Linked DNA regions of Kluyveromyces lactis. The protein of the gene in region 7 purifies or fractionates together with the protein of the main gene of each other region. This does not show direct contact. Links are inferred from orthologs where the notes say so. Each region holds a gene or a part of one and is shown on either strand. Other genes may lie near its edges. The genes, in order: SPT16, TOF1, CSM3, CTF4, MRC1, POL2 and MCM4.

The links.
Region 1: the proteins of MCM4 (region 7) and SPT16 purify together in Saccharomyces cerevisiae (affinity purification with mass spectrometry; 4 studies listed by BioGRID, with this or other methods). This does not show direct contact. The link is inferred for Kluyveromyces lactis from reciprocal best matches to the Saccharomyces cerevisiae genes MCM4 and SPT16.
Region 2: the proteins of MCM4 (region 7) and TOF1 purify together in Saccharomyces cerevisiae (affinity purification with mass spectrometry, with the first as the bait; 3 studies listed by BioGRID). This does not show direct contact. The link is inferred for Kluyveromyces lactis from reciprocal best matches to the Saccharomyces cerevisiae genes MCM4 and TOF1.
Region 3: the proteins of MCM4 (region 7) and CSM3 purify together in Saccharomyces cerevisiae (affinity purification with western blotting; 8 studies listed by BioGRID, with this or other methods). This does not show direct contact. The link is inferred for Kluyveromyces lactis from reciprocal best matches to the Saccharomyces cerevisiae genes MCM4 and CSM3.
Region 4: the proteins of MCM4 (region 7) and CTF4 purify together in Saccharomyces cerevisiae (affinity purification with western blotting; 15 studies listed by BioGRID, with this or other methods). This does not show direct contact. The link is inferred for Kluyveromyces lactis from reciprocal best matches to the Saccharomyces cerevisiae genes MCM4 and CTF4.
Region 5: the proteins of MCM4 (region 7) and MRC1 purify together in Saccharomyces cerevisiae (affinity purification with western blotting; 7 studies listed by BioGRID, with this or other methods). This does not show direct contact. The link is inferred for Kluyveromyces lactis from reciprocal best matches to the Saccharomyces cerevisiae genes MCM4 and MRC1.
Region 6: the proteins of MCM4 (region 7) and POL2 purify together in Saccharomyces cerevisiae (affinity purification with western blotting; 3 studies listed by BioGRID, with this or other methods). This does not show direct contact. The link is inferred for Kluyveromyces lactis from reciprocal best matches to the Saccharomyces cerevisiae genes MCM4 and POL2.

The regions. Positions count from the first base shown.
Region 1 is NC_006042.1:906,426-910,998, reverse strand, and holds the start of SPT16 (chromatin-remodeling protein SPT16), read right to left. Parts: upstream 3,022-4,573; coding exon 1-3,021. Other genes in the region: KLLA0_F09867g (uncharacterized protein), read left to right, coding at 3,249-4,358. UniProt on the Saccharomyces cerevisiae protein: Component of the FACT complex, a general chromatin factor that acts to reorganize nucleosomes. The FACT complex is involved in multiple processes that require DNA as a template such as mRNA elongation, DNA replication and DNA repair.
Region 2 is NC_006039.1:187,586-192,185, reverse strand, and holds the start of TOF1 (Tof1p), read right to left. Parts: upstream 3,104-4,600; coding exon 1-3,103. UniProt on the Saccharomyces cerevisiae protein: Forms a fork protection complex (FPC) with CSM3 and which is required for chromosome segregation during meiosis and DNA damage repair. FPC coordinates leading and lagging strand synthesis and moves with the replication fork.
Region 3 is NC_006042.1:2,463,475-2,466,626, forward strand, and holds CSM3 (Csm3p), read right to left. Parts: upstream 1,804-3,152; coding exon 904-1,803; downstream 1-903. Other genes in the region: ribosome biogenesis protein ERB1, read left to right, coding at 1-777; KLLA0_F26686g (uncharacterized protein), read left to right, coding at 2,777-3,016. UniProt on the Saccharomyces cerevisiae protein: Forms a fork protection complex (FPC) with TOF1 which is required for chromosome segregation during meiosis and DNA damage repair. FPC coordinates leading and lagging strand synthesis and moves with the replication fork.
Region 4 is NC_006038.1:972,847-977,518, forward strand, and holds the start of CTF4 (chromatin-binding protein CTF4), read right to left. Parts: upstream 2,813-4,672; coding exon 1-2,812. Other genes in the region: Golgi transport complex subunit COG2, read left to right, coding at 3,406-4,119; FG-nucleoporin NUP57, read left to right, coding at 4,411-4,672. UniProt on the Saccharomyces cerevisiae protein: Accessory factor for DNA replication. It plays a role in accurately duplicating the genome in vivo.
Region 5 is NC_006039.1:35,215-39,768, forward strand, and holds MRC1 (chromatin-modulating protein MRC1), read right to left. Parts: upstream 2,961-4,554; coding exon 183-2,960; downstream 1-182. Other genes in the region: VAC17 (Vac17p), read left to right, coding at 1-116; ribosome biosynthesis protein KRR1, read right to left, coding at 3,370-4,362. UniProt on the Saccharomyces cerevisiae protein: Required for normal DNA replication. Phosphorylated in response to DNA replication stress. Phosphorylation allows it to mediate the activation of RAD53.
Region 6 is NC_006039.1:231,807-236,467, forward strand, and holds the end of POL2 (DNA polymerase epsilon catalytic subunit), read left to right. Parts: coding exon 1-4,025; downstream 4,026-4,661. Other genes in the region: ORC5 (origin recognition complex subunit 5), read left to right, coding at 4,236-4,661. UniProt on the Saccharomyces cerevisiae protein: Catalytic component of the DNA polymerase epsilon complex which participates in chromosomal DNA replication.
Region 7 is NC_006039.1:1,537,341-1,541,953, forward strand, and holds MCM4 (MCM DNA helicase complex subunit MCM4), read right to left. Parts: upstream 3,046-4,613; coding exon 367-3,045; downstream 1-366. Other genes in the region: KLLA0_C17490g (S10 family peptidase), read left to right, coding at 1-215; mannose-ethanolamine phosphotransferase GPI13, read left to right, coding at 3,627-4,613. UniProt on the Saccharomyces cerevisiae protein: Acts as a component of the MCM2-7 complex (MCM complex) which is the putative replicative helicase essential for 'once per cell cycle' DNA replication initiation and elongation in eukaryotic cells.

The DNA.
Region 1 (4,573 bases), on a different chromosome or scaffold from region 7:
TGATCCATCGGCGAAATCATCTGACCCTTCATCACTGAATTTTTCGTCATCCGAATAATCCTCTTCTTCTTCAGAGTACACTTCCTCATCAGATGGATCCTCATCAGATGCCTCGTATTCTGAAATTTCTTCCTCGCTCTCATCAGATCTTTCATCATCGGATCCAGTTGCCAAGAACGACCACCCACCATCCAAAAAGAATTGATGAGGATCATCTTGTAGCGACTTCATGATTGTCGACCAGTTCAAGTTAATTGTAGAAACAGTATATGGAATATCAACATCTGTTAACCATGTCTTAATGAATTCAAGTTGCTCAATTGGTACAGTGTTTATATGAGAAACAGGCTTTGTCAAATCTTTATAAACAAAGACCATGTCAAAGTTCTTCAATCCAAATTGAACTCTTTCAAGTATACAAATCTCAACTTCGTTCAAATTTATGACTAAAAATGGCGGTTCAACTAATTGAATTAAGCAGTCTCTCGTTGGCATACAGAACACGGCTGATCTAGAAGGAACACCTTGGAAACCAAGATCTCTAAATGGAGAATCTACATCTAGGAGACCATCGGATGCCTCTGCTATAGCTTCAGCAAAATATCTAAATTCTTTATCAAGGGCAGCACGTTTTCTTCTTTCTTCTTGTTCTTGTTCTAATTCATCTTCATCACCATATCTTCTAAATTTCATGTTGTTGCGTCTGCTGTTTCCTGTCTCATCGACAGCCATATCAGATGCTTCTCTGTAAAATTGAATATCTTGGATCTTCTTTTTACCCATTAAAATAGGATTCTTTAGATGAACATGAATGATCACAATAAGTTCTCCCTTTGATGATTGGAAGAATAGATTCTTGATGTTTGAGAATAGGATATCAATTCTTGAATCTGTCCTCAATGGAGACTGGTATCTGATACCATTTTCATGAATGAACACCGTACCTGGCACACGCTTGGTATCGGGACTAGGCCTGACAAAGATTTGGTCCAAACGTTTAGTCCTACCAGTTTTGTTCTCCACCAATTTAGCCTGGACAACAACATCAGCCAAAGCTTTTCTTTCCTGTTCACGTTTGGTAGATTCCTTCTTAAGATCAGTAATTTGTTTGAAAACATCGCTCATGCGAGCACCATCCTTAGATCTTAAAGTTAGAGAACGAACAAATTGATTCTCTGGGTTCTCTTCATACGGCAACTCCTCAGTTTTCTTACCGACACCTCCAGCACCAGGAGAATGGAAATTCAATCTGAGATAAGTGTATTCACCTTCTTCATTTTTAGAACCGTTTTTGTATGAATTGATATGAAAAGGTACAGGTCTACCATAGATTGGTAGAATGATTGTCTGACTCTTCCAGTCGACATGAATCTTCAAATCACGTACATTGGATGGTATTTGAGTTTCCCTAACGTAAGATTCGTACTTTTTGAAGAAATGCTTTGGCTTCTCATCGCCATCTACTGCATCTGCATCACTGTATCTGAGTAAACCTTCCTTCTGTAATCTTTCATGAAGTTTTCTTTGGTTCTCTTTGCGGATTTGTTCTTTCTCTTCATCGTCAGCACGACTTTCTCCACGTAGCTTAGATCTCAAAATCTTCGATGTACCATCAGGTTTTGGTAAAGCAGGAGGCTTGCTTTTTTCAGATTTAACAGTTGCAGCTTTGTTCTCTTCTTCGTTGTTGAAGTAAAACGAGATTTGGGATCTAGCCTTTGTGTACTTGGTCAAAGTGGATGGCTTTCCATCAGAAGAAAGTTGAACGGTATCTGCTAATTGAACAGCATATACCTGACCAGTTTTACTATCCTTTAAATTCCCAAATCCGAGTGAAATATTGTAACAGCAATTCTCTGAAATTTTATGAGCGGTTGGTTTAGCATTGATCATACCAGCAGAGTCTCTAAATTCCAACCCCATCAAAGAACCAACATTTTTAGTAAAGTGAGATAATAATTCCGGTTTCTTTTCTTTGATGAATTCCAGTGTCTTTTCATAAATAGATGTTGGATCAGCTTCTACTTTTAATAAATCATCGATGATCTTCTCTTGCAAAATCAATAAAAAGTCATAATTGTCAGTCATTTCATCTGTCGGGTCAATCAAAAAAGTTCTGGTGATATTGGAACAGTAATTCTTGTATCTGATACCGCATGAGGCTAGGATGGAACCCTTTCCGAAAAGTGAGTCGTTGTTAGAACGAGCAGAAACCTTAAGGTCGAACTTAGAACCTGATTGCACAATTGGAGAATAGGCCCAATCAAGGAAATTAACGTCGAATTTCTCGTCGGTAGGACACAAAGGATTTAGATCACTTGAAAGTTTCTTCAAAAACTTGGAATCATCTATCTTGTTTTCAATTTTATCTGACAACTTAGAATTTGATATTTTTAGTTCTTCGTCAACAGCATTGACGATTTCATTTGACATAAGATCCATGAATTTGTCAGATCCCTTACTGGATACAGAAAGGTAAGCCTTTTCCTTATCATCTTTGCCCTTCCAAGTAGAAGACAAACCAGCAGAGCAATCGATTACGTTTAAAGAATGCGTCTTTTTAGCTTCTTCCCAAAGCGGTTTCCATTCAAGAATGAGCTTACCTTGATATGAATCCTTCGTTGGGACACCGACAGTATTACCGTTTTCTGATAACAGCTTGATGAGGTCCTCAAACAATTTCTTATTGTGATTTGCATCCTTGTTATTTCTTTGCCAGATCTCAAGTTTGTAATCTGATCCTTCAAACTTAGTAACAGCGGGCAAAAGATGTTTCGCCTTAGCACTGCTGGTTATGATGACACCTTTATCCTTGAAAAAGGCAATCAATGTAGCTGGAAACTCATACCCTAGCAACCAATTATGCAAAATGGTGGTCTTTTGATAAGGGTTTTCCTCATTAGTCGAACCAAGTACAAAGAGAAGACTATTTGGAGAACCTTCAAATCCAGAATATGCCTTCCCTAATTTTGTAAACCTATCATAAAAGGCTTGGAAATCAATTTCAATTCCTCCGTCACTCATTGTTACTTGAGATTAGCACAATGGGGTCCTCAATATCTAACCAAAAAAGACAACTGCCACGCCTAATAGAACAATGAGTTTGAAATACCGAGCCACGAAATGCTTTGCAGGTTATTTCAATAAAAGTACCAAAGAGTCCCTTTGCTTTAATTTCCTGCCAGCTCTTAAACAATGGGTATAGTTTGCAAAAATTATTAATGTTACTCTTCAATTTAAAACTATAATATATGCATTATTGGCGTCGCGTTTTTTTTTTACTAAATTTTGAAAAATTCAGGTTAAAGGGAGAATATATCACTGTAAACGGATTTGATTCTCTTCACGTGACTGGAGATCAATTCCATACTAAGATGCTTCCAATGTATTTTGAACCGAGGATGACTATAATAGAAGTTAACAGTGGAAAGTGCACGTTTACTTTTCATTATTGGGTGTATATCAACATCAAAGCCTATAATCACATCGGGGTGGTTCACTGGTTTATTTGTACCAAAATAATGAGTGGGAACAACTTAAGTTCTGCTAACCATCTGGATAGCGAGAAACTAACAGAATTATTGAGGAAGAAGTATCCTTTTTTGGTGATGTATGATGGGAAGAACGATGTAATAGATCTTGGAAAGTTTTATTTAGGATTTGCACATTTTATGTCGCGAGAAATTACTTTTGCGGAGCAAATCAGCAGCGAATTTATATTCGCCTTCATGCGAATAGACTCAGAAAGAAGACGTCTTGAGCATGATGACGAATTGTTTTCCAAGGCATCCGATGATCTTTTGGCTACAAGAAGAAATATAAACAGATGGGCTAAAGAGTTAGAAGTGCAAATACTTCCTATTGTACTCTCTGCATACCAAATTCTTGCAGGTGATTTAACTGAGGGAGTAGAGAAGATAAAGGAAGCACTTAGGGATGAAACTTTGGATGGATTAGCCATAAGACTCAATATCCTTTCAGCGTATGCTATCGATATTATTAACGAAGTGATAACTATTTATCCGGAAATGTACAACCTGTCGGTATCTAATAAGAGAAGTCTTGGGGATTACTCTCTACACCTCACATTAGCAAGTCTTCTTTTGCAGTCTCTTCATCTATTTGCCGACCTTTGTGAACGCCATCCGAATTTATACCAACGATCGTTGCAACCTTTCACTTATGAACAATTCCAGATAGAATTGCAGGAAAAGTCGGAAGCAGTTACCAAGATCAACGAGGAATACGAGGAACTTATTAAAAGCATTACGACCATAACATTTAACAATGTAATAAATTACATGAAAGACAAGAAGACAAAACTACGAGACACTTCTAAAGAATACCTTTCTAAAGAATAGATATGAAGTAAGAAATTTCGACGGAATTTGTTATATGCATTGCATCTCATCACGAATAAATAAATTATAGCATAGAATCATTCTGCATTTCCACATGGAAACCCAATAATTAACTCCTCTAAATAATGAATACTTCCCTAGAGAAAGCTACTAGCAGTTTTATAAATATGAGAAAGATTTCTAATGCTCATCAACCACTGATCCAGGTCTCTACC
Region 2 (4,600 bases), about 1.3 Mb from region 7:
CAGAGTCCATTATATACTCCTTACTAACGACTGGAAGCTTGGTGGAGCTGCTTGCATTTGCTTCAAAATCTGATTCATTTTCTTCCGGATGATGAGCAATTGCCTTTCTTTTCCCTTTGGATCTCTGAACAAGTTTGGATTGCGCTTTTCCTTTTGAAAGCTCGCGTCCCTCTGTTCGCTTATCCATGATTTCTAAATCTTCGAAGTAACTTCCATTGTTTAAATCTGATCCGTATTCTTCAGGGTCTTCATACTCTTGATAATGTGACGATAAATAATAACTAGCTGGTTTTCCAATTTCAGATTCAAATGGAAGAGACCTGTGCTTTTGTATAGTTTCAATTACCAACTGGACCTCAGTAGGAGTTTTATTATTAATGAAATAGCAAGCAGGTTGATTAGCTTCCGGAATTGCAAAACCAGCAAGGATTAAAAGCCTTCTGAATTCGGGCTGTTGGTATAAGGCCCTCTTTATCTCAGAATTAGTAGCATTGAATGCAACTTTTTTTACTCTTTCCTCTTCTAGTGAATTGATGCCTTCTGCTACCTTACCCTTCAATCCATCGAAACTTGACTGTAAATTAAGCAACAAAGCTTCAATCAAATCTTCATATCCATCATCGATAAGACTAGAAACCAAGATTCCAACTTGCATATCTAACAAAACTTTTTTAGGAAGAGAGCCTTCATCTGGAATATTGATAAATGTGCTGGGCAATACTATGTCAGGAGTACCTTCAGTCAACTTCATCTTTCCATGTCTCATATAGTATGATATTTGGGAGTCATGGAGCATTGGGAACAATATATTGATGTACAAAGAAGGCATTTTCTTCAGTTTATTTTTGAGCTGCTTAAGGTAGTACTCATTGAATTTTGTGAAATGAGTTCTTAGCTCAGAAGTTGTAGGCAGACCTTGTTGACTTAGAATTTCTCGACATAATATCATGAAGTCAATTCGAAATAGAAATAATTCTTCCTTCGCTTTGACAAACACTCTCTGAAAGAATTTTAGAACCCTTATGAGGTCTTTGTCCTCCAGTTCTTTGTAAGACTGTAGATATCTGATGTAAGTTGATATCGTTGGTTCTGTCAGATATCCGCGAAAAACCTTATCAAAGTTTATGGTCACTTGTTTAAATTGTTCTTCTAATATATCAAAGGCTGATTCATAGTCTAAATCATTATCTTTTGCATACTTTTCAATTGCTGTGTGATTAAGGTTCACCTTACGCTTCCTTTTTGACTCCACAGTCAACGAGCTGTTCTCATCAAATTTATCAATTGTTTTCAAAACCACATGTGTTAAATTAATGCAAGCTTTAACATATTGTGAAGAATGACTGGTTGCAGATTTTGGGAGAGATGCCAATAGCTGCAACATATTTTCGCTCAAAATCTTACTTATCACAGCTTGAACATCTGCCTCCCATGATTGGTCGAGAGATAATAAAAACTCCAAGTATTCCGTGAACAATAGCATACCCGCATGGACCACTGGCCAATTCTTTTGTTCATAACTCTCTCTCAAATATTTTGTAAAGAGAATGTAACACTCATCTAACAATGCGCCTGAGACATAATCCGGTGTAGCATCAATTTCATAAATGCACCGTGATCTCTGGAATTTCACAAACCACGAAATGAATAACATGTATTCAATCTTATGCAATGGTAATTGATCTTGAATTTCACTCGTAAAACTATCTGTGGCATTTTGCAATAACAAATTGAAACTGGAATCAACAAAATCTGCCAAAAACTCTTTTATGCTAGTAATGTTGTCAGAAGACATGTAAATAGAATTACCTTCAGTACTAAAAAAGCTGCTACTGAGTCCTTCAATAACATCGAGTCTCATAGTGATGGTTTTATTCCATTTTTTTCTTGAGTCTAACTCTTGTAATGCCGCATCATCACGCATGTTGACAGAATTACTAGCAATTGTCAATCGCGTATTTTGAGGTGTCTGTATAGACAATAAACCGCCAAATCTAGAATGACGAGAAGAAGTATTCTTTATTACATTAAGCTTCTTTTCATGTTCCTTTGCAAGTAATTCTGAAAGGTGTTTACCTGACGTTGTCATGTTGGAGTCTGTAATCTCGTGATCCGTACCCAATTTATAAGATTTTCTCTGGTTTTTGAACAATCGGATGGGGTTAATATCTTTTGTTAAGAAGAACATGACCTCTAACAACGGCCAACTAACGAAATTTGGGTCAACAGCGTCTGACAAAGAACTAGCCACTGTTAGAAGAAAGCCAAAAACTTTATTTTTATCAAATGCGGTTATGACACTATTTATGGAAATATCATCAACGGTAATATTCGTTGGTAACATTTCAGCCATAGTCAAAGGTCTCTTCAATCTTTTGACACTGGATATTGTAACTTCACCTGGTTCTATTGCCACCACATTTTTTAGAAAATTAAGAACCATTCGTATCAGAGAGTCATCCCTAGCAGTCCTATGATCTACATCCACACTCATGACGTTCAGGGCTAATCTAATTGCTGCCTTGAGAACCTTTCCGTTTTCTGTTGTCAAAATTGCATGCTTATACAGCAATTGATGCTTTTTCAGCTCAAAGTAATAATTCACTTGGTTATACGATGACTGATCTGTTATGATTAAGGGCCATGTCATCAACACCATAAGTTGCAACGCTCCTAGAGCGATTCTATCATGATATGATTTATTCGGGAAGAAAATCGAGATATCTTCACCTGTTTTTTTACTTTTCCTAGTAGCAGCACTATTTTTTGCCTCCCAATCCAATAGAATAGGTATTAGATCATTCTGCAGGATCTTGAATTCAGCTGTGGCCATTTCTACATCCCATCTCTTCTGGTTATCATCAACTAACTTGAACCAACGAATCAAATCCTTAATACAAGCCAAGCAATCATCACCTACCTTATAAGGTGGATTAACGGAGTCCACAGAGTGATCTGGTCCTCCAATTGCCGTGGCTAACATACCAATTCTTGCCTTAATGATTGTGTATGAAATATCCTGGTATTCATTCTGAATATGTATGTTTTGCCTATCTTCTGCCAGTCTCTCCTTCACAGTATCAACGTCATCGGGTTCTGACATAGTTACCTTCTGTCAAAGCTACGAACCCAAAGAAGTTTTCTAATAGTTTTCTCAACTAATACTAGTTATGTTCGTTGTCAAATTGGTCAAATTGGAAAGAATTTGCCCTCTTGATTAAGGTAGCCCTTCGAATATTCATCCTTTTGTTCAAACGCGTAAAACTGTTGAAAGCTGTTTTATGATCAAAATCTCATTCGATTGGAATTGATTCCTATGAAAAGTAAGACAAAACCAGATCACGTGATTTTGAAAATTGTAATTCTTCGCCCCCCCTATCAATACACGGTACAAGCACTGTTTTATTGCCTCACTATCAGCAATTGATAAGTTTCAATTTTAAATATTAGTTCCGTAACATTTTAGTTAGATTACTGTTCTCCCAACGACGAAACAGAGACGAAAGTCCAAATATCATGCGGGAAAGTAACTCACTGTTCTTGCTTTCAAGCTGAGCTTTCATACCAAACTAAAGGAATAGTAGCAGTCACCATATAATTTCAAGTAGATTGATACCAAACACAAGCCATATATTAAAATATTTGATCAAATTGTATTATACCTGCTCCTATGGCTACTTTGTTCTCCTTTGTGTCAATCTAGAAATAATCTTGCATATTTTTTTTTCGATCTTCATGACCGTATTAGGAACGGTCGTAAATAAAGCGTACAAAAAGCAAAAAATAAGGGTTCTGATTGCACTCGGCTTATGTGACGACATTCTCCGTTAATGAAGAGCAGACATAAGTGGAAAAGCTTTTGAAATTCCTCAAAAAAGACAAAAACACTGCAATAGTGTGTTAAAGATGGTTGGTCCGGTTTGCGATGTCTCATTTGTCAATGAAGATCAATAAGCATTAATCTGTGGTTTTTCCATTTTTTTAACTCATCGATCTGAAATTTGATTTTGAGGTTTTAACTTTCAAATGTAGAGAACATGAATGAGGGAGGTGAATATGTCTACTGAGTGCTGGGGGATTATACATACCGGGTATGTGATCTTGTGTCGTGGTATAGGATCATTGCGGGGAGATACATTGTTCCAATTTCTGAGGCAAAAAATATATTTGAAATATGCTCTCAATTATTAACTACGGAAGTAGAATAGAACCTATGCCATGCCTTTGCTGCCTTTGATAAACGTAAGATTTATGTTGCACTGCGCACAAGTTATTTAAAATGATTTACGGCAGCAAGTAGACAAGAGTATGACAAAGAACAGTCGATTAAGAATGTGAAGAAAGAAAAAAAATGGAACGTTCAAAACAGGACCAATGCTAGATGGTTTTGTTACAAGGAAAATTTCAGGATTATAATGCTATCTGAGGAAGAATTGTGTGATTGGTGTTTGCTTTGTTCCTTCAGACCACTATGATGACTGCGATATGGTTATACTATGTGTGGTAAAACATTACTATGTATTACCAAATATGGTAAACTGAAAAATTTTTAAAGTTTGCGGTATCGATTGACAACGGGTTTCCTACAAGTCAACCACAG
Region 3 (3,152 bases), on a different chromosome or scaffold from region 7:
AGTAATCTCAATGTGAATAGCGATGATGAGGATGACGGTGCTGAATCACATGCTGTCAAGAAACAGGTTGCTCAATGGAATAAACCAACCGAAAGGCAAGCTGCCAATGATATTTGTATCGTAATAACTTGTCGTAAATCAGTGAAAAAGCTTTCATGGCATAGAAAAGGTGATTACTTTGTCACTGTTCAACCAGACTCAGGTAATACATCAGTTTTGATTCATCAATTATCCAAGCATTTAACTCAATCGCCATTCAAAAAATCTAAGGGTATCATTATGGATGCAAAATTCCATCCATTCAAGCCACAGCTCTTGGTCTGTTCTCAAAGATACGTCAGAATTTATGACCTATCGCAACAAGTGCTAATCAAGAAACTTCTACCTGGTGCTCGTTGGTTATCTACTATTGATATTCACCCAAGAGGTGATAACTTAATTGCATCCTCGTTTGACAAGAGAGTGTTGTGGCATGATCTTGACCTTGCAAGCACTCCATATAAGACCTTGAGATACCATGAGAAGGCTGTAAGAAGCGTAAGTTTCCACAAGAAACTACCACTGTTTTGCTCAGCTGCGGATGATGGTAACATCCATGTTTTCCATGCCACGGTCTATGACGATTTAATGAAGAACCCTATGATCGTCCCGTTGAAGAAACTAACCGGCCACAAGATTGTGAATAGTTTAGGTGTTCTAGATACTATATGGCATCCACGTGAAGCTTGGCTATTCTCTGCAGGTGCCGACAAAACCGCTCGTTTGTGGACTACCTGATAGAACCCTCATGACGGGATATTTGTAAAACACTGTATACTATGGACATCATTACCTATCAATATTACAAGTAGATACTTTCTAATTAGTGTTCAAGGGAATACATTATTATCTTTGGATCAGAGCTCAAAAGGTATCCATGTCTCTCATCATTGCCATTTCCTCATCTGATGCGATATCATTACCGTTATTTGTTGTGCTGGCAACGGTCGTAATTTTACTCAATTCGTCTAACTCTTCAGCGTTAGGCAGAGCGTAGCCATTTTGTGTATGTTGCCGTATGTTTGTATCAGTGGTGGACAACATTTCATTCGTGTGCCGCTGGTGATGCGAAGAATATAGAACATCATCATCATCATCATCATCATCATCATCGTCATAGTTGCCGTCATTATTCTGATTTTTGTCTTTGTCTAGGCTGATAATTTTGGTGGCTTCATAACCATACTGTGCATTTCCGCGGTCAGTCGCTGAGGTAGATTCATCCGTTACAAATAAGCTATTTCGTCCCTGATGAGCAGGTAGTACGCCTGTGTCGTGCATTTGCATATCAGGTACGTTGGGAATGTCATCTCCGAGGAGGATACCCATGTCTTTCCTAACTAAATTCATTCTATACTCTCTTAGCTCTTTGTCAGTTTTCCCCAATGATTCACATAATGAGGTGAAATCTTTGAACTTTGCCTTCGGATACAAATTATGAGCCCATAGCTGATAGAATTGTAAGAAGTTTGTTAAGTTATCGTAAGCTGTCTTGTGCTTGCTGATTCTACAACTTTTCGGAGCATGTTCCATGACATACGGCAGACCCTTAGTGGACAATAACTTCTCGGCAGTAAGCTTTACCCTTGGTTTCCGGGTGTTGGTAGATATGAGCGTGGGATCTTGACCATCAGTTGTACTTGTCATAGAAGGATCCAGGCCATTCACAGTAGGATCCAATTCAAAATCAAGCCTCATGTTCCCATCTTCAGTCGCGTTGCCTTGAAATGCCGAGAGATCGTTCATATCATCATCTATAGACATCGTTTACGGTACTGTCTCAAAAAAGCAAAGAGCACACACACTTGTAGATATAAAAAATACTATTCCGTGCCAAATATGAGGACTTCGACAACTGAGAGCGAGAGACACTATTTATGTTATCTTAAATCGATAATGCTCTTCGACTTCAGTTAAGTTTGGCGTAGTATATTTCACGGAAAGGAAAAGAAATAAAGTCACGTGAACAATATTTACATTTTCTTTTGGTTCGTCTGGTGACATTATCAGCGTCAAGAATCTCAACGCAGACATTTATTGCGACAGACACAGTGACGCGTCGAAAAGTCAAGAGAAGGCATTCAGGGGGAATGCCAAGAGACAACAAAACGGGCAAGCAAAAAGAAGCACCGTGAAATTTTAAGTCAAGGCTGTCCTTCTGATAAGCAAGATAGCAAGCCAAACACTATGTTTTGGCTGCGTTGATAAGAAGACAAATGCTGTCAATCACGTGATAATCCCTCTTTTTTAAGTTTTCTTGGGGGCATTCATTAGGCGCATGTCACATGCTCTGTTGAGGAATGAGTGGAAAGCCACACTTTTTATTGCGGTACTTTCACTTAGGCTGATGAAAAGATCGGTGTTTGAAGTTCCTGCTGAGAGGTTATTGTGAAAGTGTCAAATGATAACGCACATTAACGGGCTGCCTTTTGATTCCTTTGCCCACAGAAGTGGTCCATTTTGTTTCAGAGATTTAACCACAATTTGTTAGTGTGTTATTGTTATCTTGTTGTAGTATATTTTATGGAGGTTATATATATATAAGGAATAACCTTTCAGTTGTTGACAAGGCCTATGTAATAGATTCGAGGTTGTCTGTATCTTGTATTGATAAGTTAAAAAGTGTAAGAAAGACGTCTCATAATAAGGAGTAACACAGGATACCGACCTCCGAATAGGCTTAACAAGCGCCTACTACAATATACCCATTAGCGTCCCCGTTTGACAATATTCAACAATGTTCACAGACAATTTTGGAAAAGCCAAAGATACGCAGCAGGTTTCCCAGGTGATAGTACAATGCTTCAAAAGTTTAAATTCAGTTCCCAGATCGACTCCAGACCTAGAGCAAGACTATTGTGATTCTGATGAAGAGGAAGATTTGATCGTGGATTTAACGACAGGGTCGTTAAAGCCCAGGAATTTGAAGAATTATCTACTTATGAATGAGGTAATGAATGGCCTAGAGAGCCTATGACGCTATGGTATTAAAGCCAATAAGGGGGTTTCACATCTACTTTATTGTGTCTACCGAAGATTTGCATACCAGAGAGATGCATCTTTTAATGCCTTTACTGCCTGGCTTTATCTCTCATTTTATTTTCATTTCTTTC
Region 4 (4,672 bases), on a different chromosome or scaffold from region 7:
CGGCCTCAAATTTGGCCTCAATAATCGTGTTGATTTTTCTTACTAGTGGAAGTAGTTCAGCTCTTTCTGCAATTTTTCTTGCAGCAGATAGGGCCTTATCTTGCTTCAGTTCGTTGACGATTGAAACGGCCTTGTTAACATCTTGCTCGGAACAGACATAAGCTAAAAGTCGTAGTAAGGACTTATCATGTGTTGCTACCAGATGCTGTAATAGATCTGTTTCATTTCCGTATATCTCACCTTCATTATCCATCGTGTCTTTTAGTAAATCACTTAGTATCTTGGAGCGTAGAAATTCCTCTTCTGCTGCTAGGTACATTGGAATTTCGACACCATTACTGTTATCAATATCTTCCACATCGCTGCTGTCGTTACGATTATCGTCTTGTGTCTTTTGAAGCTCGGATTTTGATACAACTGGGATTCTGACTTCCATTTCTGTAGGAACGGTCATTGGGATATCTGGCCATGCGTTCTTCCCCTTCAATAATAAATACGAAAATGTATCGAAGTTTAATCCTAATGGCCAAACGTGGACGTTCTTCGGATGCTTACCCCCTGACATCTTCCAAAGTTCTAAATTGGTATCAACTATGGGTACCCATCTCGCGTCACTACCACTTCTCCATTTGGACAGAATTAACAAAACATTATCATGACCAAACATACACGGATCACCAAAGCTTGAGAAGAATAAGGATTTGATACCTAGGGGGTTGAATGAATTGAAAATATCATCGTATTTTAAAAATTCAATGTCTTCATCATCATTTCCCGGCTGATTCTGTTGAGGCAACGTTATTGGTAAGGGAGATTCTCTTTGGAAGTATTTATTGCCAGTTTGCGGATGTTGTTGGAACATCGAGTAAGTAATACCATGATATTGTGAGTAATGAATGGTGAACACTTTGTACTCATGAGCAGACAAAGCAACAATAGGTGACATTTTTTCTATTGCCAGTGGTAACCCAAAATCGTTATAAGTACGAAGATATCCGAGAGATGTTCCTACAATTACACGTTTAGGAGTACAGGCAATTGAAGTAACTCTTTCTTTGGAAAGTAAGGGAATCTTTTTAGTCCATGAATCTCCAGAGGGACTATGTGGCTTGTATTGAATTTGACCCATCTTCGACTGGCCCAATAGTATACCTTCATCGGTCAGTGAACAAAGGTCATATTTGAATAAATCGTCGAAATGATACTCACGGAATCGACTAACATCGAAAAAAGAGACCGTTATAGAATTGCTACCGCCTTCATTTCTTGTTGTCCATACATGACCTAGTTGGTTTATAGTAAGGTATCTTTTATCGCTATTCCCGAAAGGTGTCGCGCCTGTTGAAAATGGTCGGTATTGGAATTGAGCTGGTGGTTGGTAAATTCTGCGATGATTTACATGATTAGCTGTCAAAGAAGGAATTGATTGAACATGAGTTTTTGGTCTCTTATATTGTGCGGCCTCGCCATTATCATCCTCAATAAAATCATCTTCATTCTCGAAATTGTATGTACGCTTAGGTTCATGTTGATCCATTTCTGCATCTGTGAAAAGGTTGTCAGAGTTTATATCTTCACTAACCTCACCTTTGTCATCAGCTTTGTCGTTGTTTTCATATTTCGATCTTCTGTTATTATCATTCTTGGAAGGCTCGTAGAACTCAGGACCGTTGCTTGTTTGTTTAGATAAATCATCTATGTCACTATCGTCAAATAACTTTTCATCATCAGAGCCAACAAAAAGCTTACCACCGGTATTTGAATAAGCAACTGTAGTATTTACTGAAACAATGTCATTGAACGTGATAACATCGCCCGACCAAGTACCTGCTACCAAGCTAAGTTTGGTTCTCTGATCGTTTACTCTCCAAGACAAAGAAGTGATACTATACCTAAAGCTTTCGTGAACAAGCTGTGTACCAGTACTTAAATTCCAAATAAATAGATGAGAATTTTGGTTGGAATTACCGACTGCAGCGATTGTGTTTGAATGAATTTGGTCTATTGTAAGTGCGTCCCAGTTGTTAACGTGCACACTTGGCTTGAACGAGGTCACCAAATCATGATCTGATAATTTAAATAACTTAATGACACTATCTTTTGCTGGAATTGCATATTGGTCTCCTTTATTGGTCCATGCAACTCTAGTGCATGTTCTGTTATCTTCGCATAGCATAGGATCAAGTCCATCTATAGCGACTGAATCGGCGTTTTCAGTATTATTCTCAGTGTCCGCTGGTAGATCATCATTGAAGAATATCTTAGGTAGCTGATCATGCAATGTGTGGATTCTATTGGGTGTAGTAGAACTTAAAGAGTAGAATACAACGTTACCGTTACTGAGTGATACTGCTAGAATGTTATTTTGTTTGTTGTATGATAAACTAACCAGTTGTTCGTCCAAAGTTAATTTAACGTTTGAATTTCCCTCTTCTAATGCAACCAATGTCATTTCTAAATCATCCCCACCTACAACACATACTTTATCATCATGAACTAAGGCCAAATCACGCAATGGTAACGAGGATCTAAAGCATAACTTGTTCTTGTTTTCCAGTACATTGTACCAGTATAGGTCGCCATTGCGGGAAACAACATATAAACCATCAGCTGAATTTTGACTCAAAACAAATGCGCTTGGTTCTTCACAAATATCAATGATATCAGGTTCCTTCTCAAGATCAGTTAAATTAAGAACTTTCACCAATGCGTTCTTATTTAAAGTGAAAAGTCGAGAACTGTCACTACTCAACCGTGCCTGGGTGTTCCCACCAGCAACAAATACCCTATTTTCAGTTAGTTTAATTGCCATTGGATGTTTCTGGGTATGTCTGAAGGAAACTATTCACTAATATACTGAGAACTGAGCTTTTTTCAGTGCATCTTATAGATTTCAAGCAAGTTGTGTCTCATCTTCTACTTGTTAAATCACCAAGACGCGTTTTTTCTGTTAAAAATACACGTTAGCTAAGAAGACAGAAATGAAACACAGAACTAGCACCATCAAGTATTAGTTGACACTGTTATAGTAGTGACAGTGCAGTGCATGCAATTGCCACAAGGTAAGGATGAGGTATTGGACCAAAAGTATCTAAACATTCTTGATTATAGATTTACTTATCTTAAGGAAAATTAGTCACGTGATGCGCAGTAATCATATCACCCTTATTCATCTGTATTGCACCATCAGTTTAGTAAGTGTGTTCCGAAAACTACCCATTCAAACACATGTATCGGTCTTTGCCCTTGTTATATACATGTATTTTTCTAACTATCAATTCTATTCAGCGTTCAAGATATTTAAAGGTACGAATCGATCCTTATATTCGAACGATCATTACCAGAAAAACGGAACAAGAGCGAAAAGAGAGGGAAAGTACTGTGTGAAACTACTCTCACCCAGCGATGACCGACCTAAATGATGATTTGGATCTACCAGTAACTAAAGAACTAAGCAGAGAGTTAGTTTCCAATTTTGTACGGAAGAATGGCTGCTTAGATATAGATAAGCTATTACTTGAGAATAACTTCCAATACGTATCGTTAGACGAACTCTCATATGAAGTATCTGCCTTGAAGCAATCAATGGAACAAACTATACTGGATGAAATCAATGACAATTATCCCGAGTACATGGAAATATGTGACAGGTTTAATACTAGTGACAATAACGAGGTGTTGAATAAGTTAAAACAAGTCTTGAATGATCTACAACAGTTCAACAAGCAATTACTCCAACTTTGTGATTCCTCAGTGGCTGAAACTAGAGAAAAAACAGTAACAGCATTATCCTACCTAAAATCGCTTGATAACCTATTTGGTAAACTGGACGATATCACAAAGCTATCAGAATCGCTAAAGATATGCCAGCAACTTGTATCATCCTTACAGTCTATGGTGCAGCTGAATATCGACGACGAGCTTTCCTTCACAGTGGCAAAGCAGCTCTCTACTATACTAATACGTTGTGACTACAGATTTAGACATTTGGAAGACAATGATTCCACCCTAATTACTCGAATGAGAAACGACTTTAAAAGTATTCTCGAGACCGCAAAGCCTTTAATTAAACCCGTTCTCGAGAAGCAGAACCAGCAAACTCAAACCATAAAAACTTAAATATATGATAAATGCGAACCCAATTCAAATAAAGTGAGATTCCACCCCCTAGGTGGAAGCGAGTCTACGCTATGAGTATCCTTACGTAAATGTGTATAACATCTCTGACTTTGAGCCTCATCTCATCATAATGAACGATCTTGAATTTTTCAGTTCTTCACAACAAAAGCATCAACAAACATCACAACTAACATTAAATCTATAAGAACGAACTGACAATATAGCAGGGCCAGCGTACTAACAGAACACTGTGAATATCGATAAGGTTCAATTTTCTGTCATCAATTAGCCATGTTTGGTGCAGTGAATTCGGGAAATAGTTCAATGAACAATGGCGGCGGTTTATTTGGTAACAAACCTGCTGCTGGAAACACAGGGTTCCAGTTTGGCGGTCAACAACAACAACAACAGCCACAGCAGCAGCCTGGTGGTGCTGGTAGCTTGTTCGGACAGAATAACAACTCGATAGGTAATACATCAAACACTGGAGGAGGTCTGTTCGGAAGTACACAGCAACAGCAGAAACCTTCTACTGGGGGTTTGTTTGGCAACA
Region 5 (4,554 bases), about 1.5 Mb from region 7:
TAGTAATAGGACCGAATGGCGCAAAGTTCATCCGTGGGCTAAATGACCCATTAGTAACTTGTACTGTTTCATATAATGAACTTCAAGAGGCATTGAACACTGAATTTAACTTCTGATATAATGATTATACAAATGTAATTTTAAGAGATTTTATAATGAAATTGACATATTAGTTGGATGGGTCAGGTGAAACTATCGGAATTGGAGTCAAACAAGCTAGATGTTGGTTTGCGTACCAACGGTGTGGATTTTCGGCCTTGGGGTGCCTTCAATTTTCTCTTTTTACCCAAGAAAGTGATGGCAGATCGAGAACCAGAGGCTACTCTATAAGATTTAGATATAGTAACAGTTTTGATCCCCGTTTTGAACTTGTCATTAACATCTGAGTTTGACGAAAAAGACTTTACGATGCTGGGCAATTTGAAGTCCAGAGATGTACCATCCACATCATCAAAGAAGGCGGAGTTTCTATTCCTTTGAGGGGAATCGAGAGATTTAATATTGCTTCGCTGTTTCAAAGATTCCAAATCCTCAGTTGCATCATGTGCTGCTTCAGTGACCTCAAATTCATTGATATCATCATCTTTTGCACTTAAAAACGATAATGAACTCTGAACAAACTCTTCTGATATGACAATTTTCTTCTTTCCCATCTCATCTCGAGTATTGCTGAATGATGTGACAGCAGGGATTGACTTTCTAGTTATATCTTCCACCATACTATCGAAAAAGGCTTTTGATTTTGAGTTATTGACTACACCGTCCACATTTTCTAGTAGCTTTTGTTTCATTATTTCTCTTCTTTTTTCCCTAAACTGTCGTAGTAACTCATCCTCATCATCGCTTAACTCAAGATCTAGTGCTCCTCGGCCACGTTTACGAAAGCCTCCGGTATTGATATCATGTAAGATTTTATTTATCATCCTTTCGTCCATTTCTTTGTTCTCTAAGGCTAACCTTTCTCTTATTGAAGCGGTATCAAACTTGCTTTTGGAAAAATCATCTATCATGGTATCCAAATCTGAGTCATAGTCATCTGAATTCTCTCCGTCAGCACCACCAACACCATGCCATTCATCCTCAGATTCTTCTGCTTCCATTTCCAATATTTTGTTGAGACCAGTTGATTTAAGTACTTGCTTCCGCTTTTTTGCTGCCTCTATTTCCATTCTTCGGCGCATTTTAGCCCTTTCTTGAAGCCTATTCCTTTCTACTTCGTCGAGCTCGTCCTCTGAGGAATCAGAGTCTACTGAGGAATCGGAACTTAACTCTCCCACCAATAATTTCGCTGAATGTGATCTGTTCATCTTCAGTTCTGAATTTGAAGGCACATTTCTGTCACTTTGATCAGCACCATCATTTTCCGTTACATTTGAGGAAGTTAAATTATCGCCATAATGCCCTAAATTGATGCCAATCGGCTCCTGGGTGACTTCATTATCATCACTTGACGAAGAACTCTCGTCATCATCTATTATAGGATTGTTGTTTTTATGGGCTGCCGATGTATCCGCGCTATCTTCGTCTGAACCAGTGGACCCGTGTAGCCCTAAATGCTGCTCGACATCACTATCTGATAAGCTTAAATCACTCTCCATCACATCGCTATCAGGGACATCGGATGCGCTACCAGAAGATGCAGCTTTACTCGTATCTTTTGATTTCTCTCTTTCTCTTTTTTCTCTTAGTTTAACTCTCCTATTCCTTTCAAGCTCTTGCTCTAGAAGCTTTTCAACTTGAATCTTTTCATCTTCAATCGCTTCAAGTGATATTCCTTTTTTACCGGATATTTCTCTTCTAAATTCAAGTATCTGGTCTCTGTTCTTTGTTTTCAAAGATGTAAACAATTCCTTCAAAGAGTCAACTGTAGAAACATGCATGTTCTTTGCTTTAGTAGCCTTATTCCTGGATCTCTTAGCTTTAATCAGCAATAATGCTGCCTTGGACGATTGTGATTTATAGTCATCTTCAGATTCGGACGAAGAGTTCAGTTCAATAACATTTTGTGGACTATTTTTCATAGTAATGGCAATAATCCCATTCATATTAGTAACAACACTCTTCTGTTTCGTGACTAACTCTTGAGTAGATGCCATATCTTTCAATTCATCAGCATCATTTTCCTCATCTGAAAGATCTTCTGCGTTGGATGACTCCGAATCATCAAAAGCTGCAATGAACTGTTCAGGGAGGTATTTCTTTCGGACAGCCTTTAATGGTGCTACAGGTAAATGTGGTTCTTCTATAGTATCTTTTATAAGAGGCACGGCTTTCTCCTTTTCAGCAACATCAAGTTGAGTAGCGACCACTTTTTGCTCATTCTCTATTTGAGTTCCATTTGGTTTAGTTGCCAGTAGTCCTTCATTGTTGTTTGTTGTCAACTTAAATGTAAACGAAGTATTTCGAAAGGAAGTTTCTTTACTGTGCAGCAATTTACTTTCGGTTGCAGCTTTATCAAGAGTGTGTTCATCTGGTGTAGTCTGTGTAATTTCCTCATTGTTCAATTGTGTGTCTAAATCTTGCTGTTGTCTATCAATGGTTCTGTTGGTGCCCTCCAGTGCCTGAGTATTTACTTGAGTCTTTGCCAGCCAAGATGAAGAGAATGTAGGAATTAATTGTGTCTGAGATATTGGATGTTTTTTCTGTTGGATTTCCACTTCACGCTGCTTTGGTACTGCAGCAGTTTCACGCATTGCCTCAAACTCATCGTCCAACTCTTTACCTTCATACAAATCGGTATCACTGTAGAAGAATGTGCTTTTTTTACTGTTATCAATTGCCGAAGCAGTGCTATCATCTGAATCTCCATTTAGTCTCTTTTTGACTCTTTCAAGCAGATTCTCTGCTAGAAACTTGTGCTCTCCCACGTTCAGCTCTTCATCTTCTGCATCGTTCGCTTTAGAATATGTTTTGCCTTTCTTTTTATGAATGCCAACGTTCAAATCATCTAGTAGGTCCATTCTGCACTTGATAATGTGCCGAAGTGTTTGCAAGGTGTTGAATTCCTTTAATAAAACGGTTATAATAATGCCTTACCTGGTAACATTATCGTGCTTATAAGATTGGGCTGCGAGCCTTAAATATTTACGCGTTTTCTCATTTTTCTTTTCAAAAAACCTTCTTGATCGTACGTACTATATTTTTGTCACACCGCAGGTTTTGACATAAGGAAAAGCAAGAACGTTGCTGGCATGAATGATAGTTAGTGAAAAGCGTATACGTGGTCCATAAATATAATCGTAAAGTGTCTACTGGGACGATTTTTGAACAAAGCAACTGGTTGAAACTTAACTTAAAACTATATTTCTTAATTTGAGTCATGAGAAAAGGATGGAAACGCGATTATATAATAAAATACTTACTAGCGCTTTAATCGGTACGCTGTCTTTTCCTGTCTCCTAAAGAGCTCTTTGTAGATTTTGAAATTGAGCTTTTGTAGTCGGTTTCTTTTGGTGCAATAAAATCCTTGGCTCTCTCGCTTTCCTTTTCAGCGTGTTTAGCGGCTTGTTGTTCCCTGCGCTCATGTAACTTTTTGACTTCCTTCTCCCTCTTGCTCAAGAAATACTCACCGGACTCAATCTCCAAATCAACCTTTCTAGGTAATTGTGCAGGTGGGAATGGTGTGTATATTTTCTTCTCCTTGATCTTCTTTGGTTTCTTTCTTGCAACATTTCTCTTCTTGAACATAGGTAAAAATCTAGACCAGTCTTCCTCGGCTAACTCAGGCTTCTTAGCAAGTTCTCTCTTTATCATGAGTTCTTTGATATGGTAAATAGGATGTACGTTTTTCATACAATCTTCGACGACACGGCGTACTTCCTTTAATCCTTTATATGGTCCCATTACTGAGACAGTATTACCTTGGACAAGAATATAACATTTTGTTAGAAGCTCCAAGGCTTTCAAAGTGTTACCATTAGGACCCACTAGTCTCTGCCTTCTTTTCACGAACCTTTCTTTATTAGAAACAAAGTTACCAATCTTTATAACATCACAGGCAACATCGTCTTCTAGGATTTTCACTGCTTGTGGGAATGGCACAGATCTGGCCAAAAGTTTAATCAAATCACGAGCCTTCAAGATTACTGCTGGATCATACGTTTTTCTTGTAGTCTTTACAGTCATAGAACCTTCAACTAAATTCAATTCGCATGCAATATGATGTGCATCGAGAGACCTCGTAACGTCTTTCCAAACTGATTTCAAGTACGCTTCTCTGTACTTTGGAAATAGAGTCATAAAACTGGATTCTTCAGCAAAAGGAAGGCCAGACTTGTTGTCCTCGGGTTTAAACTCCTCGATATTCCATTTGTCAACCTCGTCCGTATCCCAAGGCTTGTCTTTATTATGAGTAGAGACCATCTTTCAACTCACGACTAAATCAATATCTACCTCTTTTTCCGATACTTGTGAGTTCGCAAAATTGTCTGTTGGCCTTTAGTACGCTTCAAGCTAAACTAGGGTTTTATAAGCGGATACTGAAGACAATGTGGTGCAGTGAGGCCATGTCATCTCATCTCATCTCATCTCATCGCATCACTTATAATTCATTCG
Region 6 (4,661 bases), about 1.3 Mb from region 7:
TTGGAAGACCGTTAGAATTAGACACCGATGGTATTTGGTGTATCCTTCCTAAGAGTTTTCCGGAAAATTTTGAAATCAAGCTGCGCAACGGCAAGAAACTATTTCTTTCGTATCCTTGTTCGATGCTTAACTATAAAGTTCATCAAAAATACACTAATCATCAATATCAAGACCTCGTCGACCCTATGAAGTTCAAATACCAAACAAAAAGTGATAATTCCATTTTCTTTGAAGTCGATGGACCATATAAAGCAATGATACTGCCAACTTCCAAAGAAGAAGGTAAAGGTATCAAGAAGAGATATGCTGTGTTCAACGAAGATGGTTCATTGGCTGAACTAAAAGGTTTCGAACTAAAAAGAAGAGGTGAACTACAATTAATCAAAAATTTCCAGAGTGATATTTTCAAGTTATTCCTGGAAGGAACAACCTTAGAGTCATGTTACGCTGCAGTAGCAACAGTTGCTAATAGATGGCTTGATGTATTAGATTCTAAGGGTGCAATGCTCGAAACTGAAGATCTTATTGAACTGATTTGTGAGAATAAAAGTATGTCAAAAACATTAAAGGAGTATCAGGGACAAAAGTCAACTTCCATTACCACCGCAAGAAGGCTCGGTGAATTTTTGGGGGAAGCAATGGTTAAAGACGCAGGCTTACAGTGTAAGTTTATTATCAGTTCCAAACCACATAATGCACCGGTGACAGAAAGGGCTATTCCTGTTGCTATATTTTCTTCCGATCTTCATGTTAAGCGCACATTTTTAAGGAGATGGTTATTGGACTCAAGTCTCAATGACTTTGATCCAAGGGCTATTATCGATTGGGACTATTATAGAGAAAGATTGGCTTCTGTTGTTCAAAAAATTATCACAATACCGGCAGCATTACAAAACATTAAAAACCCTGTACCCCGTGTTGAACATCCTGATTGGTTAAGAAAGAAAATTGCTGTTAGTGAAGATAAATTCAAACAGACTTCCTTGAATCGTTTCTTCAAATCTACCAAAGCTCCACCTGAAGTCAAAGATATAGAAGACTCTTTTGATGAACATTCCGCGAATAAATCACGTATCGCTAAGGTCACGTACAAGAGAAAGAGCAAAAGACGTAATGGGGATACAGCACTAGAAGAAGAGTCTTTGCTGCTACCCTCTGAAATGCCTCCGATGTTAGATGATTATGTGGGCTGGTTACAATATCAAAAAACCAAATGGAAGATCCAGCATATTGATCGAAAGAAAAGAGAAAAGCTATTTGGTAAAACTTCACGAGCATCTGATCGGTCTGCTTTGGGCAATTTGATAAGAAAGCACGTTGAATCATATGCAGATAAAAGCTGGGAAATTTTACAATGTAAACCGTCCATCGATTTAGGTGTCGTAGAAATTTATGCTTTAATCGATAGGAAAATCCAATTGCTGAAAGTAAACATTCCCAAAACTGTACTCATGAACTTCAAGACGGAGAATTTCCCCTCGGGAGGGATTGAAAACTGTATCGTCGAAAAGTCCAACGCGGAACTGCCTAACGTGAAAGGCATCAACAATGAAAGCAGTAGTCAATTGTTTAAACTGACAATGTCAGAAGATACCTATTTCAACGAAGTTAATAAAGCATCAAGCGTATTGAACAACGAGAATGTTTTGGGAATATACGAGAGCTCAATTTCTTCGAATGAAAGAGTCATAATGCGGCTAGGGACGTGTATTCAATTCAGCTCTGAAAAAATGGGTGCGCTAGGAAAAGGTTTACAGAACGGTTTTCATATGAAGAATTTACATCCTGTTGAAGCAGATAGATATCTCCAAAGGTTTGACCTTGATATTGCCTACCTTCTACATTTTGTAACAGATATCGGCTATGAATTCTATTTCTTGTATAAAGCATGGGAAGATGTGGTAGAAATATTTGTGCTGAAACCAAGCACTCATGCTCAAGAAGTTTCTAATAAAGCTATAGAATCTCTTTACAACGAGATATACGAGAAAAAGTTCGAAAAGCTCGATAAATACTATGACTTAATCAAGATAAACAAGAACGTTTCGTTTAACGTGAATGATTATACTGAACTAAAGCGTTTACTGAAGGACCTTTCAAAGATGCTGCAAAATATTAAGGAAGAAAAAGGATCTCACACAATGGTGATTCTACAATCTCCATATACCCATAGAGTTGCTAAATTGTTGCAGCCTTTGAATGCCTTCCCTGTTGTTGAAATAGCTACTGCTGAAACACATTTGCCAGCTTTGAACTGGCAGGGACAATTAATGAGGAAAGCGGTCAATCACATATTGTCTCTTGGTTCTTGGATCTCAAATTTGATTACTCTCTCAAAATACAGCAACATTCCAATATGTAACCTCAAAGTCGATAATCTCGGATACATTATCGATTTGATGTACGCTCGCCAGTTGAAAAAGAACAACATCGTTCTATGGTGGAATGATAAATCGCCGTTGCCTGACCACGGTGGCGTTGAAAGAGATTTTGACCCACGGAAAGCGGAGCTCATGACTGATTTGGTGTTCCCTATTATGAATAACCCTGATATCTATGATGACGTTATCTTCGAAATTAGTGTCTATAACTCTGTTGTGAACACTGTTTTGAGCAGCACCATGTTGAACGAGGCTGAAGGTACAGACCTTGCCCAAAATTCGACATCTAAGGAAGAATCCTTCGGTTTTGTTGAAGATTCTTTCTCTTCTTCGGCCTTGTCAGTGCTTCGCGCACTGTTGAAAGAGCTTTGGGATGATGCCTTAGGTGATAATATCACGGCTGACTCATTAGTACACGCATTTATAGGATGGGTGTATAACCCTGACGCGAAATTATTCGATTATGCTTTGAGATATCACATCCATACTCTCACTCAAAAGGCCGTGTTACAGTTGATCAATGAATTTAAGCTGGCAGGATCATCTCTCATCTTCGCAGACAGAAACAAACTGTTAATCAAAACTCAGAAGCGTTCCGTTGAGAATTCTTACGCCTATGGGCAGTATCTCATGAAAGCGATCAGATCTAAACCAATGTTTGCCTATCTAGACTTGAAAATTGATAGATATTGGGATGTCCTGATTTGGATGGATAAGTATAATTATGGTGGTAGAGCATGTCTACAGATTGAAGATAAAGAAGTTCAGAGTTTCCAGGCTTATTCTCATTGGCATATAAAGGATTTCTTACCTGCAATTTATCAGCAAGAGTTTGATGATTGGTTAGTAGTCATACTGGATAGTATGGTTAAGACAAAGGAAGCCTATCATGAGCGAAATGCATCCACACAAAGATTAACCCAATTACCAAAGAATACACTGGCTGATAGTGACGTAGATAGTCAAACTGACTCTCTAGGCGGTTTTACCCATAATTTTTCAAAAGCTCTCATCAAAAGAGCAGAGAAACTTTACAAGAACCAACAGGAATATATTCTTGATCCTAACTTCGGCAAGGATTATCTATCTCCCACAATTCCTGGGTCGCATCTAGTTGTGAAAAATCCGCTTCTTGAGTTGGTCAAATACTTATCACATATTTTATCACTTTCCAGTAATCATTTATTAGAAGGAAGGGCGCTAAGGAAAGAACTCCTAAAGACATTTGAAATACGCGAATTCGACAGATTAGCTGAATTCAAGGATCCAAGTACATCTTTTGTGATCCCTAGCTTCATATGTGAGCATTGTTCTTATATATCAGATATTGATATTTGCAGAGAAAGTATGGAACGAGTCTTCATATGCCAGAGCTGCAACAGATCCTTGAATAAAAATCTCATTGAAGAGCATGTGATCGAACGACTTCAAGCCCAAGTTGCATCGTTTATTACCCAAGATGTTAAGTGCAATAAATGTCATAAGATCAAAGAGGATGCAATGTCACCTTATTGTCCATGTTCAGGAAAATGGGAACTTGCCGTATCTAAGGAATCTTTCATGGCACAGTTACAAATTTTCAAGAACTTGGCGGAAAGCTTTGACTTTAGAACATTGAAAGAAACTTTGAATGATTTCTTATAGGTTCAAGTCCCTGGCATCTGTTGTATTATCTTTTAGTCTGCTGATGTGTTTACATTTAACATTTATGAGTGTTTATGTGTTAAAATAGATCTGAAAATAAAAAATATATATACACATAAAGGAAATTGTTCTGAACTTAGCATGGTTGAATTCTTCCCACCTGAATGAAGACGCACTATGTGTTATTTACTGCGAATCAAGTGACCCAGAATGGTACGACCTGATGTTAGATATAGAGAAGAACAACTAGATTTTTTGGAAGCGTTTGTCGATGCCGATCCAAAACTGAGCCCGCCAATCTTGTTCATAGAAGGGCCGCATGGAAGTGGTAAGACACATACCCTCAAGAAGTTTTTTGCTTGCAATGAAGAAATCATGAACATTTTACTACCAGCGAAAGATCTGATATATAGCAAATCCACCTGTCAGCGGTTGGCTACATGTCTGCGTCAATTGCTACTGAAACAATTTCCTAGTGTGGAAACCACTGATCTTGATCCATTTGAAGCCGAGGACGTATATCTTTTGCAGAAATTTATCAATAAATTGTTTATCCGATTTAATCACTTGGTAGAACGCGTTAACCTTTATGTTATACTCGATGGGCTGGATGATAATTCACAGGTGAACTTGGAA
Region 7 (4,613 bases):
GGAAGGACCATATAAGCTATGAAACGTTACCCTTAAACCCATGGTATAGTTTGAACGGATCCGTCCAGTTTGGTGAGGTCAAAAACCACGGACCCTTTACTTTCCTCAGAGTATTCGAAGCAGGTCATACGGTTCCATATTATCAACCACTAGCTACTATGGAAATGATCAACAGATGGATCTCGGGGGACCTTTCTTTAGGCTACTCTAACTAAATATGCTATTATAATGTCAAACACTTTCACGATGATATATACACAGAACGTATGTATATAAGCAGAACATGCGGAAGGTCGTTATTCTCATTTAGCCCTTTGCAAACTATGTAGAGGCTTTCTCAGAAAAACTAGACTTGATAATATCTATTCATACACGGCCATTCAAACGAATTGATCTTCTTAGACCTTCTCCTAAGATTACTACCTTGTCTTCTTGTTGCAATCTTGTCAAAGCGTTTGATAATTCGATACTCTCCACTTTATCTTGCGATTGTTCGTTTATAAGCTTGCTTAGTTCGTTGAAACTTATTGTGTCTGTTGTCCTTTCTGTCAATATCTTTAAAATTTCTCTCGCCAAGTCTTCAAGCAATTTTCTTTGCACAACCGATTTACCAGTTTGTACAAGGTTCATATCAATTTTACCAGTTTTAGGATCCGTAGCGTAATCTTTGATGGCAGACTTTATCAGTCTCACTGCTTCTTCCACATCTTCAAGTTCAACTCTTTCACTTAACCTCATCTTAGCATGAGCTTCTGAAAGTCTAATCATACTTTCTAACTGTCTTGTTGTTGCGGTAATTCTTTTTTCATCTGATCTACTGTCATCACCCATCTTTCTCATACCGACATATGCCCTCACAAGTTCAGTCTTGGCTGACTCAGTTATTACCGGGTGAATGTTTTGTTTTGCATAGTTGATGTAGGCTGTCAAGAATTCAACTGGTAGAATATCACCTTGAGATACAGAATCCGGTCTGTCTTCCAGGTATAAACTGGTTAAATGCTTAGCGAGTTCACGATCAGACGCTTCGTTGACCTTGTCAAGCACTAGATAAACGAGATCAAATCTTGATAATAATGGAGGCGGCAAATCAATATTTTCAGTCACAGGAAGATTAGGATTGTACCTAGAGTTGATAGGATTGGCACTAGCCAGAATTGAAGTTCTAGCATTTAAAGTTGTAATAATACCTGCTTTTGCAATAGAGATTGTTTGTTGTTCCATAACTTCATGTAATACTGATCTAGTATTATCGTTCATCTTATCAAATTCATCAATACAACACACACCACCGTCAGAGAGAACTAAAGCACCACTTTCCAACACCAGTTGCTTAGTATCCACATCTCTTGTAACATAAGCAGTTAAACCAACAGCAGAGGAACCCTTACCCGAAGTGTAAACACCACGAGGAGCAATCTTATGAACATATTGTAAAATTTGAGATTTAGAGGTCGAAGGATCACCACATAGTAGAATATTAATGTCACCTCTATATCTTCCACCTTTCTTGAAAGTTTTATTAGCACCACCAAAGAGTTGTAATAAGATTCCCTTCTTGACGTCATCTAACTCGTAAATACTTGGTGCGATGGAACGTGACAAAACATCATAGACATCCGATCGGCGAGCAGTTTCTTTGATCCTCCTAATGTCTTCGCTACTCAAAGTTCTAATCTCTTCCACATTATCAATCTGGTTCTGCAAGAGTTGTTGTTCAACAGTAGAAGTGTCCACACCGACTCTATCTTTAGCCACCTTTTGGATATGAACCACATCGATGTATGTCTTGTATAGAGATTTGAGGGCTCTTTGCTTTGGATTCGACCTGATTGGAATAGATCTAAAGATACCTGAAACCTCAATTCTATCACCAGCACGACACGAATCAACCAGCTCATCATATACACATAGGGAAACAGAGTGTGGAGTTTGTCCATCAGGGACTAGATCAGGCGTTTCTTGTAACTTTATCACTTGTCTGTCTTGGAAAGTGCACCTATTGTGAACTAAAACCATGGAGTTTGGGCTATTACAGACCACTCTGGGACATCTCACTGGTTCTTGAATAATACCACGATCGATCTCAACTTCTACAGTATGATTGCATACGTTACATTTGAAAAATGCAACACTCATATCTGGGATAATAGGTGTGGATCTTAGAACTAAACCTTTGATACTCACCAATTTATCAATATCATTAGGATTAAGCTCTCTCATACCCTTTTTGGTTTCCACATTATATGGTCTCACTTTGAACAACTTCGATTCAATTTCATTCAAGTAACTCTCTAACCCATTATCAAGTGCTAAGGATACCATACAATCTTTAACAGTTTGATCCATAATAGCTATAATTTCTTGAGGGTAATAGAGAATCTGATGAAACAACTTTTCAGTATGTTTATAAGCCAGTAAATTTCTGATATCAAGGTTCAAGTTTGAAGTACCGAGTTGTCTCATTTGATTCAATTGATTCACATAATACAGCTCTTGGTCTGTTGTTTCGTTGATGAAAATCTCCTGATCATCTAGCTCCTTTCTATATTTCAACTTGAAAGACATCAAAAATTCTCTGAAACTGTTACCACACTCTTGGATCGAAACATTGGTACCCCAGATGATCTTCAAAGGTTGATCAGCAGCTTCAGATGCAGGTCTCGATGATGATGAAAATCCATTATCCGATGAGGAAAGGTTATTGAAAGTGACAATTCTTCTGGGAGATGATAAGTCAGATGCATTAATTTCGCCTCTTCTAGATCTAGAGTGTCTTCCCTCTCTTGCACTTGAGGATAGAGAGGATGAATAGTTCAATAGATCAGATCTCAAATTGTTAGATCTTAAACCACTGCTACTAGGAGCGGCGCGAGCCGTCTCTTGCGTGGCATTTGACGAAGACGAAGGATAGTGAAACGGAGAAGAGCCTACGCCTCGGTCTTGAGATGCCTGGGAATCCTGTGTACCATGAGGAGCTGGAGAAGAGCTAGGATCATAAAACAAATTTGGTGAACTTGGTTGTTGAGCTGGAGGTGAGGACATAATATTGTTAACCGTTTGTCTTCCTGTGTTCTATGGATATATACTGCCACTATTATCCAAATGCTAATTCAGCAATTTTATCAAACCTACTAAGCAGCTAAATAATCCTAGGTTCCCTGATATATCACCTTTCAATTGATAATGTTATCTTGTTTGAGATGCTTTGAGTGAACTAAGTGAAACTCGTTAAGATTTTACACATTTTTGGTTACATAGTTACATTTCCTAAAGAAGAAAACAGAACAAATTGAAATAAACAAGGTTCTAATGAGCCCTTGCCACCGTTGATAATACCATGGATCCACTCAGCTCAATGGTCAGTATCTTCGCCGATCAGAATTGGAGTTGCATTATTTGAAGAGGGAACAATGATCACGTGATGTACAATTGTTCTGTTTTAAAAGAAATTAACCTTTAAAATGAAATAAAGTGGTAACAAGAACTCTGTCAGAGGCGAGAGATAAGCGAACCACTTTCGCCAGTGTGACTCAATTCTTCTGCACAATATCATTATTCAACGTGAATTTATTGTACTTTCGTTTAGTTGTGTTTTTGTCCCGTTTGGAAACTGGTAAGAAGTGATGAATCCCACTGTTAGTGATGAACGAGATCGGGCAGAGAGAATTAGACTCAGCATAATGGGGCCTCAAACGAGGTCCAGTCGAATGAGCTATCGGATATCAAGGTTCAAGTCTACGCACACTCTGTACATACTATTACTTGCTTCTTTGGCTGTATTGCAGTTTATTTCCATAGCATTTTTCGCAAAAGGGTTCCTTTTAACAAGGACGGTGTTGGATAACGTTGCAGAACTTGATCCCCAGCTTCCCTTCGAAGCTAAATACGATAAGATGGTTTTACTAATAGTGGACGCATTGAGGTTTGATTTCGTTATTCCAGTAGATGAAAATCATGCCAAGTACAACCCTAATTATCATAACAATTTGAAAGTTCTTTATGAGACGGCCCATAACTCAACGGATTCTGTCTTGTTGAAGTTTTTGGCTGATCCTCCCACAACTACGCTACAAAGATTAAAGGGATTGACAACAGGTTCCTTGCCTACATTTATAGATGCAGGATCGAATTTCAATGGTGATGTGATCGATGAGGATAACTTAATAAAACAGCTTTATCTGCATAACAAGAAAATATTCTTTGCCGGTGATGACACTTGGGATGCCCTATTTAATCCGTATTTGGCTCCAGAAAGTGTACCATATGAATCCTTGAACGTTTGGGATTTAGACACAGTCGATAATGGGGTTATTTCTTACTTAGAGGAGTATTATTTCAATGAAGAGAAACGGTCTGAATACGATATCTTGATCGGACATATGTTAGGAGTTGATCATGTCGGACATAAGTACGGTCCTAATCATTTTACCATGAAGGAAAAACAGCTTCAAGTTGATGAGCTATTGCGGAAAATTATAAGCACTGCAGATGATAACACGTTATACGTTGTTATGGGTGATCACGGTATGGACCACACAGGAAACCACGGTGGTGATTCGCAAGACGAGTTGGAAAGTGTCCTTTGGCTATACGCGAAGAATGCCAACTGG